Oryzias latipes: one gene and its partner. The main gene of each other region encodes a partner of the protein of the gene in region 2 in a complex. Links are inferred from orthologs where the notes say so. Each region holds a gene or a part of one and is shown on either strand. Other genes may lie near its edges.

The links. Proteins that work in one complex are often made in the same cells at the same time.
Region 1: med25 (region 2) and med18 share a complex: the UniProt entries of both Homo sapiens proteins name them as parts of the mediator complex. The link is inferred for Oryzias latipes from reciprocal best matches to the Homo sapiens genes MED25 and MED18.

What each region holds. Positions count from the first base shown.
Region 1 is NC_019874.2:22,761,974-22,769,906, reverse strand, and holds med18 (mediator of RNA polymerase II transcription subunit 18), read left to right. Parts: upstream 1-2,912; 5' UTR 2,913-3,269; intron 3,270-3,746; 5' UTR 3,747-3,753; coding exon 3,754-3,826; intron 3,827-4,545; coding exon 4,546-5,102; 3' UTR 5,103-5,211; downstream 5,212-7,933. UniProt on the Homo sapiens protein: Component of the Mediator complex, a coactivator involved in the regulated transcription of nearly all RNA polymerase II-dependent genes.
Region 2 is NC_019866.2:3,603,766-3,611,666, forward strand, and holds the start of med25 (mediator of RNA polymerase II transcription subunit 25), read right to left. Parts: upstream 4,581-7,901; 5' UTR 4,435-4,580; intron 3,882-4,434; 5' UTR 3,873-3,881; coding exon 3,748-3,872; intron 3,665-3,747; coding exon 3,619-3,664; intron 3,525-3,618; coding exon 3,400-3,524; intron 3,307-3,399; coding exon 3,208-3,306; intron 2,176-3,207; coding exon 2,055-2,175; intron 575-2,054; coding exon 418-574; intron 1-417. UniProt on the Homo sapiens protein: Component of the Mediator complex, a coactivator involved in the regulated transcription of nearly all RNA polymerase II-dependent genes.

The DNA of each region.
Region 1 (7,933 bases), on a different chromosome or scaffold from region 2:
GATTTCTCCAACAGCCAGGGGAGCAAAAGGCCAGGCAAGGTTTCCGCATCTCAAGCTGAGAAACATCTTGTCTTCAAGAAGGTTGGTATTAAAGTTAATTAGTATATTGTCGTGTGCTTTCTTTCCTCACTCCCTTCTGAGACAGGTGGGGTGATCAGAAATTTGCTTGGGTAGTTTGAGGAAAATGCGCTTGTTTTTCCTGATCATAATATTTAAGCATAATTAAATAAAGTTAATTGGTTGAATGCATTAATTTATTCAACCCATTGTTTTCCTGTTTCTCTTTCTTTATTCTAGTATCTTCCGACGTTTTTTGGTACTTAACTCCTACAATTTTTCCGCTATTTTAACCATTCAACTATTAAAATGTTCACATCTTTCAGCTTTGAACATTTCAACTATTCAACTATTAAAATGTTCAAATCTTTCAGCTTTTTCCTGTTATGACTTTTGGTCTTTCAAATCTTTGAACTTTTCTTTGCTTCTTTCTTTGGTGCAGAAGCTTGCGGGTTCGATACCCGGCTCTGGCATTTTTCATAAAAAGATCTTTTTTGTTATTGTGTCGTTTTCACTTTTATTGTGGTCAACTTTGATCATTTCCTTCTTTTTTTGACAATTATTCCCCTTTAAGTTCAATTTTTATCCTTGAAATGCAGCTCCTTGGAATTGTTATTGTTTGATCTTTTTCATCTTCAGAGTGGAACAAGCGTTCAAGAACCTGTTGATGACATCGACAGCTCCACTCAACCCTATCTGCTTGCAATTGGTACAAAGAAGGGCACAGTCCAGGATTTGGTAAATGGCGTATACTTATATAGCGCCTTTCTTCCTACAAGGACAAAGCGCTTTACAGTCACAGACCCATTCACCCAGTCACACGCACATTCACACACACATTCACACACTGGTGGCGGCTCCGCTGCCAAACACAGGCGCCCGCCTACCCCCAGAGGCAAGGTGGGGTTCAGTGTCTTGCCCAAGGACACTTCGACTCATGGGCGTGCAAGGCGGGAATCGAACCTGCAATATTACGATCATGGGTCGACCGCCCTACCGCTGCACCACGGCCGCCCTTTCTACATTTCTACATCGTTCTGGACAAGCAGGTAATTCCGTGCAAGTCAACCATTTAACTTGGAGCTTTTGATTAACTCTTTAAAGTACATTTTGTTTTTGGTACCTGTACAGCAGGGGTCACCAACCTTTTTGAGACTGAGGGCTATTTCATGGGCACTAAGTGGTCTGAAGGGCGCCACAGGACCTGTTTGCTAAAAATTTCCTAGCCCCTCCCCACACACACACACAAACACAATTTGACGACATCCTTTTGTGTGCCCCATTTTTATTCGCTAATTTTACACACAAAAATGCATGACTTTTCTAGACTCATATTACAGGGGGGTCAAACTCAGTTGCAGAGGGGGCCTAAATCCAAAACACACTTCGTAATTGGAAATAAGATCAGAAACTCGTGCGTTTACTTTGTTCGTTATTTTTCTCCAAGCAGAAACTCTTTCTTTTGCTTTCTTTGGGGTGCAAATTCTGAGGTTTTTACTTTCAGAGTTTTAATGAGCCTGAGGTTTTAACAGCTCCATCACACCTTTTCTATGTTCACCCTCTAGCATTTCCTTTGCTTTGCACTTGCTGTGTTTTCAGAAGACGGACAAGTGTGAGTAATAATCCTTTACATTTTCCACAAATCATAAAGTGACTAATCATTTACTAATCATTTTCCACTAATCATTATTTCTTTATTTGCAGGTGGAAGAAGAACCCTCCATTGTTTATTCCTTAATTGCCTTTAGAACCCCTGCAAAGACCAATGGCCGTGAATTAGCCCACAATGAAACCATTTACAGTGAAATAAAATTCACAAAAAGCAGTTTGGATAGGTTGAGCAGGTAATTGTTGCGATATTTTAGCAGTTCTGAAGTTGCCTTAACATGGATTCTGTTTTGTGAGTTGAAGTAAACTTCACCCTACAAGGTCCAAAATGGAAACCCTTAGAAGGGTTTTTTCCATTGTGTCAGAAAATGAATAACTGCTTGCTAATTATCTTTATGAAATATAGCATTGCTTTGTGTCTGTACCTGATACTGTCAGCAAGTGCTTTGAAAACAGAAAACAAGTTCCTTTAAATTATTCTGAACCATTATTTTTTCTGACACAAATTTTGTTAAATATTTTTTCTTTAAAGGCTTCGGAATCCGTCAAAACACAGTTTTTATATCTTTATTATTTTATGTGTAAAATATGCATCTGATGGAATGTTTGTCATTTACTTTAAAAGGTTAAGCACAAATCTTAAAAAAGTTTGTGAACCTCAATCAGCCAAAAACTATAGCAGCATGTCTGAATTTTAAATGTTTTATTCAATGTTTTAAAAAGAAAATATTTAACAAAAACTAATTGTAAAAATATTGTAATTGTTGTGAAGACAGCATCTGAGTTTTAAAAAAAAGGCCCACAGAGCTAGGCTTTTATTTTTTTATGTGCCAGCAATTACTATTACAACATTTTCGGTATGAAATCTACATATATATTTTTATTATTTTTAAATATGTGCAAGGTTTTCAAATACATTTAGTTACTTATCTGCACTGATAATAGTTTCAATTTTTAGAGCACGTTTTGGTTTGTGAGTGTTTTTGTAAATCAAATGACTTGAAGTTGATTTTTAAAAAAATGTTATTTATGGATTGTATTTTTAAAGTAACCCCTGTTTGGGTTACTGTAATTGATCCTTTTTCTACATTGCTAAAATTTAAGTTCAATAAGTGTATTCAACGTGTACTTATTGTTTTATCATTTGCCTAAATACCTGTTTGCGCGGAAAAAGCTAACACAGAAAGTTGCTTCCATGAATGGTTATATTCCGGGGTTTCAGTAGGTGGCAGTAACGAGCTTTAAACTGGATTGAAAGCGCCTTTTAAAAACAAAAGCCAAGGAAGAACTTGGGCGCCTTTGTTTTCTGATTAGCATCAAATTTTGGTTGTTTTTAGAACGGGTTACAATATATATTTCATTAACACTTTTTTTATTTTTTAAGTTAAGTACGAATGCCTTAAATTACTTTGTTGATGACAGTAACAGCTCAAATCGTGAGTTGGTAATTCCATGTAGGCTAACTGTTAACTGGTACTAGCAGCCGTGTGGATATTAGCTAACCGGTGAAACAGGGGGCCCACCGTGGAAACCAACCACAAACAGCAAAAATATCTTAACTTTAGTCAGTTCTAACGCTGCGCCGAACTCTTTATTCTGCTCAGGTAAACCATCTTACTCTGTAGTGAGAAACGTCTACTGCTTTTGCTAGTTAGCATAAGCCTGCTATTGGTAGTTGTATTTGTTCGCTAATTTAGCTAACAACTGTTTTCTGTTTACTCATTCATTCATTGGTAATGTCACTCACATGTATCATCAAACAACTGCAAATGAAATAGAGTAGTCCAACAACACTTTGCAAAAAGTAGCCTATTTAGTTTACTACATGTATAATTGGCTAGTGGGACGATATACTTGAAGTAAACTTTTAAACACAATCTAGTATTGCTAAATTCAAAACATAAAATGTTCCAATTTAGTCTGAAGAAGTTTTCAGTCAGTTAATACTTCTTTCACAATATACACATGGTCTATCGTACACTTGTACTTATTCTCACGTGTCCTCAATGAAATAAACTTCAAGTGTAGTACTTTTTGCTAAGTGAATGACAATGCCATCATTCACTATTACTTTAAATCAGGAAGAAGATGGAAGCTCCTCCTGTCACAGTTATGCCCGTCACCGGCGGTGCCATCAACATGATGGAATATCTGTTACAAGGTGAGACGATTCAGATATAGAAGGTTCAACCAGAGATATAGAGGCTTGATATATTTACAGATAAAACGGTGTATTTTTCCAGAATACATATATTAGAAGCCAGTATGAAGTTCACTGGCTAAATTATTTGAAAAATAATGTTTACATCTTCATTCTGTTGCTAAAACCAACTTCTATCCATTAATATTAGTCTTTAAAAAAAAACTATTAAGTTGAGCTAATTATTTTTCCATCATGAGTGTTGGTGTAGCATTAAAGAGCAAACCACACTGTCAAGAGTGTGGAAAGAGTGCTCAGTTACTTTCTGTCTTGAAAATAATATATATTTCTAAGGTTTTCCTGTCCTGTTTGTGCTGCACTTTACTGGACACATTTGTATTTAGTAAACTGAAGTATTTAAGATTATATAGATGCATAAAGATTTATGGAAAAATAATCCTCAAGTCAGGAAAGCTTTTTTTAAATTTTTTTATTCATGAAACCTGTTATTCATGTTTTCATCACATCTGAAGTGTTTATTGAAACTGTGTTTGTAAAAAAAAGAGATCTAAAACGAACACTAATTTTAACATTGAACATTTTTTAATTTCATGATGGAGGATTATATGTTTAATATTCATTTTTAAAAAGTTGTATCACAGCAGGAAATAATTATAGTGGGAGTAAAGAACTTACTATATGAGTCTTTAAAGGATATTCTATTTTCTCGTTTTTTTCAGGCAGTGTTTTGGATCAGGCTCTGGAAAGCCTCCTGCATCGCCTGCGTGGTCTCTGTGACAACATGGAACCAGAGACTTTCACCGACCACGAGCTGGTTTACCTTTTGAAAGGCCAGCAAGGCAACCCCTTCATTCTGCGTGCCAGACGCTCCCTCTCCCACCCTACTTCTCCATGGCACCTGCGGTATCTAGGCCAGCCAGAAGTGGGAGACAAGAGCCGCCATGCTCTGGTTCGCAACTGTGTCGATGTAGCTGCCTCTCAAAGCCTTCCGGAGTTCCTCAATGAGATGGGCTTTCGCATGGACCATGAGTTTGTGGCCAGTGGTCACATATTTCGCAAAGGAGCAATGAAAGTTGTGGTTAGCAAGGTTTCACGCATCCTAGTACCAGGGAACACGGAAAATACAGAGCGAATGTCGCTGTCGTATTTAGTGGAACTGAGCATTTTGGCTCCGGCCGGACAGGACACCGTGTCAGAAGACATGCGCAGCTTTGCCGAGCAGCTCAAACCTCTGATTCATCTGGAGAAGATTGACCCAAGCAAGCAGAGACATTAAGCATTAATGGAAAAAAATGTTTTTGTTATTGTTTTCCTTTCCATTTAAATGCTTTTTAATGTGATGAAATACAGATTTACTTTGCTTAAACTGTTACAGTTGTGGTTAATCTGACCTGTCAGAGTATTTTTTTAATTTATTTTTTACTTTTTGTGCCTACTATAAAGAAAATATTATAGTAACAAATAGCTGGAAAATACTTAAATATATTTTAAGTTGACAAACATTTTGCAATGCCTCAGATGGCTTATGTTATTGCTTTAAAAATTTTTTTTTAAATCTTCAATTTCATTTTTTTATATAATAAATGTCCACCAGGGGTCTCTCTTTCCACAAGGATGGTCTTAATTGGAGCAAAGTGAACGCTACCTCTCATCATCTACAGGAGCTCTGGTTGCCATGGAAATAATTAGCTGTGCGATCTGCACATCGTTTACCCCACTCTAATTAGCTTTCTCAATTGCTTAATGATACATAGACCTGTGAAAGCCTTTCTTTCTTCCTTTCCACAAAAGCATTGATTTTCCCTCTCTTCCCCTTTCATTTCTACTGTTAACCCATTAGTATCCTTTCTTTTTTTCATGGGAACTTGAGCTGGGACTATTACAAGTGAAAGCACTATGGTTGCCTTAGGTCCTTCATTGCTCATGTTGAAATTGGAAAAAGGGGGTTGTATATTAGTGTGTCAACATGGCCAAGCTACTGCAGAGGCGGAAGTAACTAATGCACATCCTGTCAGTTATGATAATAATGTTGGCAAAAAGACAAGATTGTTTCTAATAATACCCTTGCAGGAAGATGCATTTGCTGGAGTTGAGATGTAGAGTGACCATGTGCATGTCTGAGCGGACAGCTCCGGGGCTGATGCCTGTCTCTGCATGTTGACCTACCTGCATTTCAAGGCTGATGAGGACAAGCTCACTGAGGTGGAAAGGTGAGGTGGCATTGCTTCCACATGCGTTTAGAGCACACTGAAAGAAAGCCGCACTTTTGAACCTCCAGTACCCTAATCCCCCTTTTTAAAAAAAAAAAAAAAAAAAACTTTAACTTATAGTGACCATTTTAGTCTGAGCATCATTTAGTTGAATATCTGACAAAGATGGCAGACAAAAGTTAGCGTCAGAGTAAATTATCTATTGATGTTCCAACAACCACAAACAGACTACTGGCTCCAAGGACTGGAGCATAGTTTTTCAGCTCTGAGTGAATTATATATTAAAGAGGGAGATGCCTCCTTGCCTAAGGCTTGATATGTCCAGCATGGATACACTACAGTCTACTGGCTTTCTTCCACTTAAACTTGTGTTTAGCACAGTGCTCTTTTGTGAGTCCCTCTACACCTCCACGTTGCCTAGAGAGCAGAAGCATAGCTAGGATAATCAGCATCTTGGCATCAGGCCTACATGGTTTTGTGGATGTTGCCAGCCACATAAGTAAAGGATTTAACTCTTTGCAGAAGACCATATGCAAGTTGGTCCACCAAAAATATATTTTTGTCATACCAGCTCTTTATTTTCATCTTAGTTTCCCATCATTTGTTGTTCTTTTAGCTGATCAGATTTGATATTTCGCTCTTGAAAAGTGAGAATAAATTTCAAGAAAACCACCTTTATGTATTGAATACGTTGACAGCATTTGTTTGCATCATTATGTTGCAGAGTAGATGGCATTACTGTACATGCATGTTTTTATTGTTTTGTCGTACAGAATTTGTACAGAAATATTAGAGCCACCATGTGTTTTGACATCTTTTTTTCTACAGTTAATCCTGCTTCCGTTGTGGGAATGAGAGACGTTGCACATTGGTTTCCCTCTCTGGGCCATTTGGTTGCTCTGCATTTTTAGCTGTTGCTTTAATTAATTGGCTAAGGCAGATAGCGTTAATCATATTGTGTTAGACCTTCGAATGGGAATGGAAGTCATTACCTGCACATGCCTATATTTCCCATTTTACAAAACAGTCTTAATTAAAACTCTTGGCACCCATCTTCTCCTTGCTTCTGAACATAATGTTCATAGTTGCAGATGCCAAGATGCCGTAGAAAGTTGGCAGTTGCTCCAGGGAGGAAGTCTTTAAGTCAGATTTCTTTGGGCCAATGCCACAGAGGGGCTGAAATCAAGCTTCACCTCCAGAGTCCATTGTTGCGAAAGCGAAGAATTGAGCCTTCTTCCTGTGTAATTGGGAACCCTTGGTCTTGTTAGACAGCGTGGGTTGTGCGCTGGGAGGGGAGGAGCTTTTGCAGGCAGACATCCTTTCCCAAGGGTGTCCTTGTGGTTTCTCAGGATACTTTAGAAGACAATGGCTCACAGAGACACATTTGAAAGAATATTAAGTTTGTGACCAAAGGAATCAGGATGGGCCTTACAAAAAAAAAGCCCCTGTTCTTTGAACAAGATTCCAACACAATTTGACACCCTCCAACTTGACGAAATGCAAAGCTGTGACTTGTTCATGTGGTGATCTGCCTCCCTTGTGGCTCACAGAGATGATCATTGCTATGCACAACATGCTGTTCCAGGGTCAGCCACTCAGAGCTTGAAGCCAGCTACGCTGCCTGTGGAATGTCTGGTATGGGGGACAACGTCAGAGTCAGCCCAGAGGGGACCGAGCGCCTCACCCTTCCTCCCCTCTGTCTGGTTCCTCTCCAATCCCAGCAGTTTTGTTTCTCTTGACATTCAGTCCTGCTGTGAGACTCTGGGTCTGCCTGTTTGCCTGCTTGATAGTCATTTGGTTTTCTTTCACTTCCTGTGTAATCAAGGCGCATTGTGTAATCTGAAGTGTCACCAAAATTATGGCTTTCATAAGTGTTGCTTGTGAGGCATCTCAAGCA
Region 2 (7,901 bases):
AATTGGAGTGGGTCTTTAACAAAGTTATCCAATAAACTTATAATGCGAGGTAATGTTAAGCACATCCATTCCAAATAATCAAAGTCATGAAACATCTGAAACATCTGTATGGACACAGCCCTTCTCTGAATGAACAAGGACATCCTGTTTTTGAATGTCAGGACTCAGTTTGTCTCCAAACGCGGAAATCTTCAACATTGCTTATTTTCAAGGGCATTTTCCCTGAAAGCGGGCACGATTTTTCTTTCTCCTAAAATTGTGACAGTTTTATGATCTTTAATAGCTGATGTTAGAGAATAAAGAAACTCGTCACTCTAATGAAAGCTTGCAGACGCATAACCTTGTAGCTCGGTGCATTACAAAAAGACTGACGGGTCAGGGAAGTGCACAAACGGCGCCCTCTGTGTGGTTTCTCACCAGGAAGTGAGATGCCTCTGATGAGCACCATGTGAAAGGGGTCCTGGCTGTAGTCAGGGAGGGGCTCGACCGCCCCGTTCAGCGGTGACGCTCTTTCAAACAAAGACCTCAGAGCGGGGAGCTTTCGAGGCGCCACCACAGAAAAGTGGATTCCTCTCTAAAGAAATATACAACATACATTCAATTAAAAACACCATCACTTCACTCTTTATGCTCTAAATTCTCTTGGGGGGTTAAATAGCTCTGCAGTGTACTAACTAGGATTATGAAGAATAATGTTTAGTCTTTATGTAACAAGTCCGAAAAGTCCTACATACATATTTAATAAACGAGTCTATTTGGCAAATTGTAACATTTATTTTTTATCCTTAGCTTCAGAATTATATTTCTAGAAGCCTAAATGTCCCGCAGTTTCTTTGCACATTTCCCTGTTTACATATTTCATCTTTTTTAATTTGTTAATTAGAAGGGGTTCATCTACTTAAATGATGAATACATTTTTTTTCTAGTCCAAAGAAATCGCTCCGTCTGAGGAAAGTTGCTAACGGAATCAACCGACAGCATTTTAAGACAGTTTCAAAATGAAATAAACCGATTTTATCGATAATGGAAAACGCCATTTGGGTTGAGGCGCAGTAGGTTGATGTGCATCACTGCAGACAACACACATGTGACGACGATCATTCCAGTCCAATGTGTGGAAACACTTTGAAATTACTAAAGTCATGTGACCAAACAGTGTCTAGAATGTTCTAATCTTGTTCCCTTTGGATTCTTTGGATGTGGAAAAACAACAGTCGGCTGAACTTTAGGAAACTCAAATGTGAATGGATTTGCCAATAATTCTTGTTTACTTGTTTGTTTGTACTCATATTTAATTGACACTTGATTATCTTGAATATTGACTAAATTGTTTCAGCAAATCCGCAAACTGAGAGGGCAGCTTGGGTTGTTTCTTTAGTTATTTGCTACTTTCACAACCGTTTTCTTTGCTGTCCACTTTTCTTCCCATTGGTTAATCAGCTTCATGAACTCGTACAAAATAAATTTATTTTACTTTGATTCTTTTTAGTTAAAAACAAAAACAAAAAAAAAACACACACAAAACAACGGAATGAACTGCGTCGCATTTATAAGACAGACCCTGTCAACCCATCGGCTCCTCAGAAAGCTTCAGTAGGAAAGTCGCCTCAACAATATTAGAAAGTTTTGCTTTCACAGCCTCATGGATGTGAAAGTCAGTGTAAAAATATTGTAATAGAATGACAGCAATTGAAATTGCATTGAGATTTTCTTCTTTTTGGTTTGTAGTTGTAAAATATTCTTAAAAGAATGCTGTTCAGACAGACTAAACAATTGGTTTGAATGAGAAGATATTAATTCCTATTCAAAAAAATCTATTTCAAATATAATATATTGTGACAATAATTGGAAAAACTGAAGATTTGAAAACAATTCTGGGGAGGGAAATCTTAGGACATCATCGCTTAGACTAGTTAGTTGGACGGTCAATTTGATGGACGGATTAATTCATTGAAAATTCCCCCTTAAATCTGAAATATTCCCATAATAAAAAAGGAGAAATGCCACAACTCATAGAACTGAACAAAATTAAAAACCACAGTAGAAAAACTCACATCTCTGATGATTTTGGCCAGGCTTTCCGCTGTGCATCCGGTGTAGCTGACGCTCTCCACAGCAGGAAGCAGATACGGAGGAGAATTACACAGAAGCACGCAGACCTTATGTGTTTGACCTCTGCAGTGACACACGCAGACAGAAACAAGAACAATGACTGTTAAAAATCCTTCACAGTATGTTTAGAATACTGTAAAAGTCAACATCAGACATTGGAAGTCTACGTTCTCCCCATTTACCGTGAAAAAAACTTGTTTAGACAAAACTTAAAAAGTAGTCAGTGATGTCTTAAGCAGGGATCTGCAACACGAGGCTCCAGAGCCAAACTGCTCCATTCTGGCTCTTTGGTTGTGATAAATATCGTAGCATTGATTTAAATGTAGTTTCTTAGATTTTTGGCTAAAATGCTCCTATAACAATAAAAAATGAAAACGGCCTTATGTTTCTCCCAGAATGCACACATTTCAAACACTCAGCAAATTACATGTGTTCTTAAAAACATTGTAATCCTTTAAGTATGTTTATTATTGGGATATACTTAAAACAAATTATGTTACGCTGCAAAATAATGTTTAATAACTGCCCAGAGGGGGAAAGAGAAAGACATGTATATACTTTTATACATGGCTCTCAGACCATGATATTTATCTTCAGGTTATATTACTAAGCTTGGAAAAGGGCGATGACACACCAAAGTAGACTTATATAAAACAAAAGAAAAAGCCTTTGTTGATTTACATTGTATAACATTTTCTTTGAAGTATATTTACGGCAGCAGATGTGTCTTTATTTTTTTAAAAGTGTCCACTTTTCTCAGGAGGAAAAAACAAATTCATGTGAATTGAATAAAATGCTATCATTTATTTTTTCCCTATTGTTTTTATTTAAGTCAAAATAGCTTAATTAATATATATATATCAAAAAAAGAAAGCAACAAATACAAAGGAGTTTTGAATTTTTCTAGAGGGTGAAACAAGACTTCGGAGCTGCTGCTGTTTTTGTCAATGGGAAACTGGCCTGAATGGCTTTTTTAGTGTTAAAGGTTGCAGACCCTGGTTTAAACAAAAGTTAGGGAGCTAAAATGTACTTTAACTTTTATTTTAATAAACACAGAACAATGTTTTAAACATCTTAGACGAAATGATACCTTACATTTGCTCCCTCATTTTTTTAAAGTCGTCAAAGAGCTGCAAGGCCACAGAAAGGCCTTCTGCAATCAGGCTGCAGCTTTCTGCTCCACCACCCATGAACCTGCAGGAAAACACCCATCACATCTTTCAAGAAATTCATGGGAGTTTTAGACAAGATCCCTATCTGCTTTTTTAATAAATGTAGCCAAGTTACTGGATGCTGTCGATCCATGAAACAAACTCGTAGGCAGAGCTGGTTGGTGCGTGACACTGAACGTAGGATTCAGGAGCACAGTCCACTGTGTTGAACACCACCAGACCATACTGTGTTCCACCATACTAGGAAGAAAAACAGATGTCACTTATTATTACAAAACGGGACTAAAATAGTTTAAAAAACTGAAATACTAACAAAAACAGAAATTACACTCACGTCTCCACCAAAATCTGTTTCTGCTGGGGGCCCTCCATTAAAATATCTAGAAAAAAAGAAATAAGATATTTACTGTTTTAATGTATGAGCAGCTCACTCTGTAAAGTCTGCACATCTTCTGCTTCTTACTCAATAGCTGGAAGGATGTAGTTTTTTCTCAGTGATTCAAAGTACGGTCCCAGGTTTGCCGTCCCTTCGATGACAAAAACCACATCGGCCACCTGGTTGGAGCCAGGTTTACTGGGCGGCTCCATGTCCACAACCTGGACGTGTGGGAGACACGGGAAAAGGGGAAATAAGGGTGGTATCATGGAGCAAAACACACAAAATACTTTATTTTCCTCTACAGGCGGTACTTGGTGAAATATTAATATATAAACATGTGTGATGATTATTTCAATGAAATTCAAGCTTTGAAATGTCACAATTAATGGATTCTCTAACCATCAGACAGAGTGAGCATCTAAAATGTTTCTCTTCATCACATCTTCATTATGTGTTAACTTGAAATAAAACGTCATGATTTGGCATATTGTAAACAATTTAAAAACGGAGAGCAGGAACAAACAAACAAAGCCGTGTGTGTGTACCGTTTGTTTAAAATGTCTCTCTAGCTTAAAACATGACAACGAATAATCTAACAATTCAACTATGATTATTATTAATTACGCGTTTATGTAACTGAGGCAGTTTATGAAAAGGAAACCACCGGCTGTAAACATTAGCCGGCTTAGCAAGCATGGAAAAAAGACTAAATAAATAATACGACTGGAAAAGCCTTTACTGTAATTCAAGAAGAAATGAGACACAACTAACCTGATAGTGAACACCTATTATTCCTTAAATATGAGATTTACTAAACCGAAATATAGGCAGTTGTTTACAAAAAAAAATTAAACCATAGCACAAAACCGCATATACGTTTGTTTTATTTTACAAGGAAGTGACGCAATGAAAATTCAATGGAGACGCTTCCTCTTCGTTGAATATAATGTGCAGATAGGATGTCTCTGAGCGCACTGCTGCCCCCTAGCGTTGAGTCATTCCTAGTGAAACAGCACTGTGGTAATAAATAAATAAAATATAAATAAATTAATAATAATAATAGTAATAATAATAAAATGAAAATCCCATGTAAAAGAGACCAAATTGCGCTTTATTTTCAATCATTTGGTAACAACGAGGTGTTGCTGAAATAACTGGTAAAAACAATAAAGTTCTTTTTTGGCGTAATAATAAGAGAAGCTATTTGTTAATAGATTTTAAAGTTATTATTCCAGATTTTTATTTTAGGTAATGTGTAAGTCAAACCAGTAAAGTCCTCTATGTTCATTTTCACCATATATCAGTGATAAATGAGATTTTTGAAGTCATAACCATTTTAATGTCTTTTCAACAGCAGGTAACTATGAAGTTCACTATAATGCGAATAAAACCTTTAGATTCAGATTAGCCAGCTACATACATTTAAGCTTCAATTGGACCAATTAATGCTTAGAGTTTTCAGCTCTGAATTCAGTTCAAACCTTATAACCAAATGCATTTCAATAAAGTGGTTACCTTTTGGAATAGTCAGAAGAAATATGTGCTTCTGGATGAGCCTAAAACAATAAAAACATTGGAGGCAGAATGAGCAGAGGACCAACAGGAAGTTCCAAAATTAATTAATTTTGATGTTTTCCAATTAATTAACTGCATTGTGAAATAATAGGTACAATCTGTCTTCAGAATTATGAAAAACAAACAGTTGTTTTTCACATTTGTTGAGGATTTTATTTCAGATGTGAAACAGAGCCGGATGCAGAAAAAATCCAGATGTTGATGATCCACATCTCCAGGAGATGTCAGCAGATCTCCACAGTGCAAAGAGAGAAGACATCAGAATTACAGTGGAGAAGATGCAAGCGTGCATTTGATACTAGCTCTAATGATGTCTGCAAAAGAAAATTCAGATTTTTTGTTTGTTTTTGTTTTTGCATCTTGTTTAAATATGTAAATTTACAGGCCAAACTTGGTGTTCTGCTCCACACGCTTTTGAGCTTTTGTTATACAGATTTTTTCTTTTTTCAAAAGTGTAATTTGATTTTGGTTACTTAACAAAAAAAGGAGTTTATTTACACCAAGCTTGATTAATGTTGTTAAAAAGTGAGCTCAGGCAGACAAGAAACAGGCCTGTAGAAAAATGCCAGACATTTAAGGATAAAACTTATTCCTGCCCATGTGTTTTTGTACCGAGAAAGGTAAAATTTAATGACCTGTTTGTGGTAGAACTTGTGTCTTTAACACATTGATGTAGTTTGTGTGGTCGGTTTAATGGCTTCCGCTCCCTTGTGACAAAAGCCAGTAAGCTGAACGTTCAGCTTAGAGGCTTCAGAGCTCATCAAACTCAAAACCCTCCCACAGACACAATGATCCATATCAATTCAGCCCAAATTCTGAGAAGGAAAACAAGCTGTGCGCCCAAGCAGCTTCGCCTTTTGGGTGTCAAAAAGCAGGGCTGCTTATGGCGGCTTAAGTAAAGTTGATCTGGAGAGGGTTTAAGCCCGTGGCTATCCACGACCTGCAAACATTTAGCTCCCCACGGATCTTTTATCCTGACAGTGAAACATGGCCAAATTAAAGTGGCAGGAAGGATTGCATGCACAGGAAGCTCTTTACTTTGCAGCTCTGATGCTTTTCTTGGAGACATTTTGTGCTTATTGTTGTCTTAAACTTTAGCACACACATGGCAAGCAGTTGCCAAGCAATTACAGAGCGCCGGCTCTCTGGGTGTGCCTTTAGAAAGACACACACTGCTTCCTTTTTTCCCCGTTGTTGGTCAGAAATCAATAATCTGAATGCAGAAATGTGGTTCTTTAAAACTCCACGTCTGCAGGCGGCTTTGATAAGACAATCTGTCTCCTGACCATTTTACCTGACCTACTGGGACTCTGGGCCAGATGGTCTTCTCACAACAGGTAATCACAGGCTGCTTGCTGATGCACTTTGATCCGCACAAATGGGTAAGCACAACAAAGCACACCTTTTGGGAACCGTAAGCCCCACTGCCATCAGCAGCAGCTGTTTTTCTAATTTATACGACATTTTTTCCCCGTTATTTATATGAAATTCCTAAAATCCCTGCCCAAGTCTTTCTTTGTGTGTAAAACACCCTTCAGAATAAAAGCACAACAACAATATAACAAAAGTATGAGTTCACAACCGTTTTCTTTGCTGTCTACTTTGCTGTCTTTATATAGAATACCAAGTAATTACTAAGTAATTTCATTATTGCAATTGTCAGAAAATTCAGAATCTTAAATATAGTTCTCAACCTATTGGAACACTTAACATTTGTGGTTTATTTTGAAAGAAATGAAAAAGGTGCAGCTCAAGTTTGCAGATCTGCTTATAAAGTACATGTCAAACACCAGAAACCAAATGTTCCAGGCACTAAAGTGGAGAGGAAAATGGAAATGTAAAAAAACCCAAAATCAAACAAAAAATCTTCTTATATGGATGGATTATATTTGTAGTCTTTTTAAAAAAATATGAACAGTGTGTATCAGAGAATTCTAGACTCTCATTTTTTTTTTTTGATTCCATCAGAGTTACTAAATAAAATCAAACTAACAAAAAGAGTCTGGACTTGAACAGAACGCAGAAACCAAACTGAATGCATGAAAAGCAACAGGAATTCAAACAAGATGATCATTTACCAATACACAAAATGATAACTTCAAGAGAAGGCTGAAAACTGTAAAATCATGGAGTGCTTTCAATTATTTACAGGCTCATTCTGCTTTTTGACCTACTTTTTGTTGAATTTGATAGATCTGTTGTGTTGGAATCGTTCTGAATTCTAGTGAGGACAAAAATGTTTGTATCACGACCTAAGAATAACAAGGGCTGAGAGGTTTGGTGTGATTTTCGAGGAGCAAAATTGATTTTTTAATCTCACCTGAGACTAGTTCAGCGAGTTGATGCCAAGTTGTTCCTCGGAAGTGCTTAAAAGAGAAGGTCATATCCGGAGGCTCAGCTCTTTTATGAGCATGCAGGCCTCCTGCAGAGGCGAGCGGCTTCTCGTGCATTCAGTTCACATAAAGAGTTTTGGGGGTAATTTTATGTTTTTGGAATCAAACCCGTATAGTGACTTCCTGCTGATTTTACTATGATAAAAGATGAGGACTTGTCAGTTTCCAGGTGATGAATTTCCACCTGTTTCTTCATGACAAAAGAGCAGTTTTGGTTTCTACAGATGGTCCTGTCGGAAAAACAGCAACACCAAAGCATCCCCTGAAGCT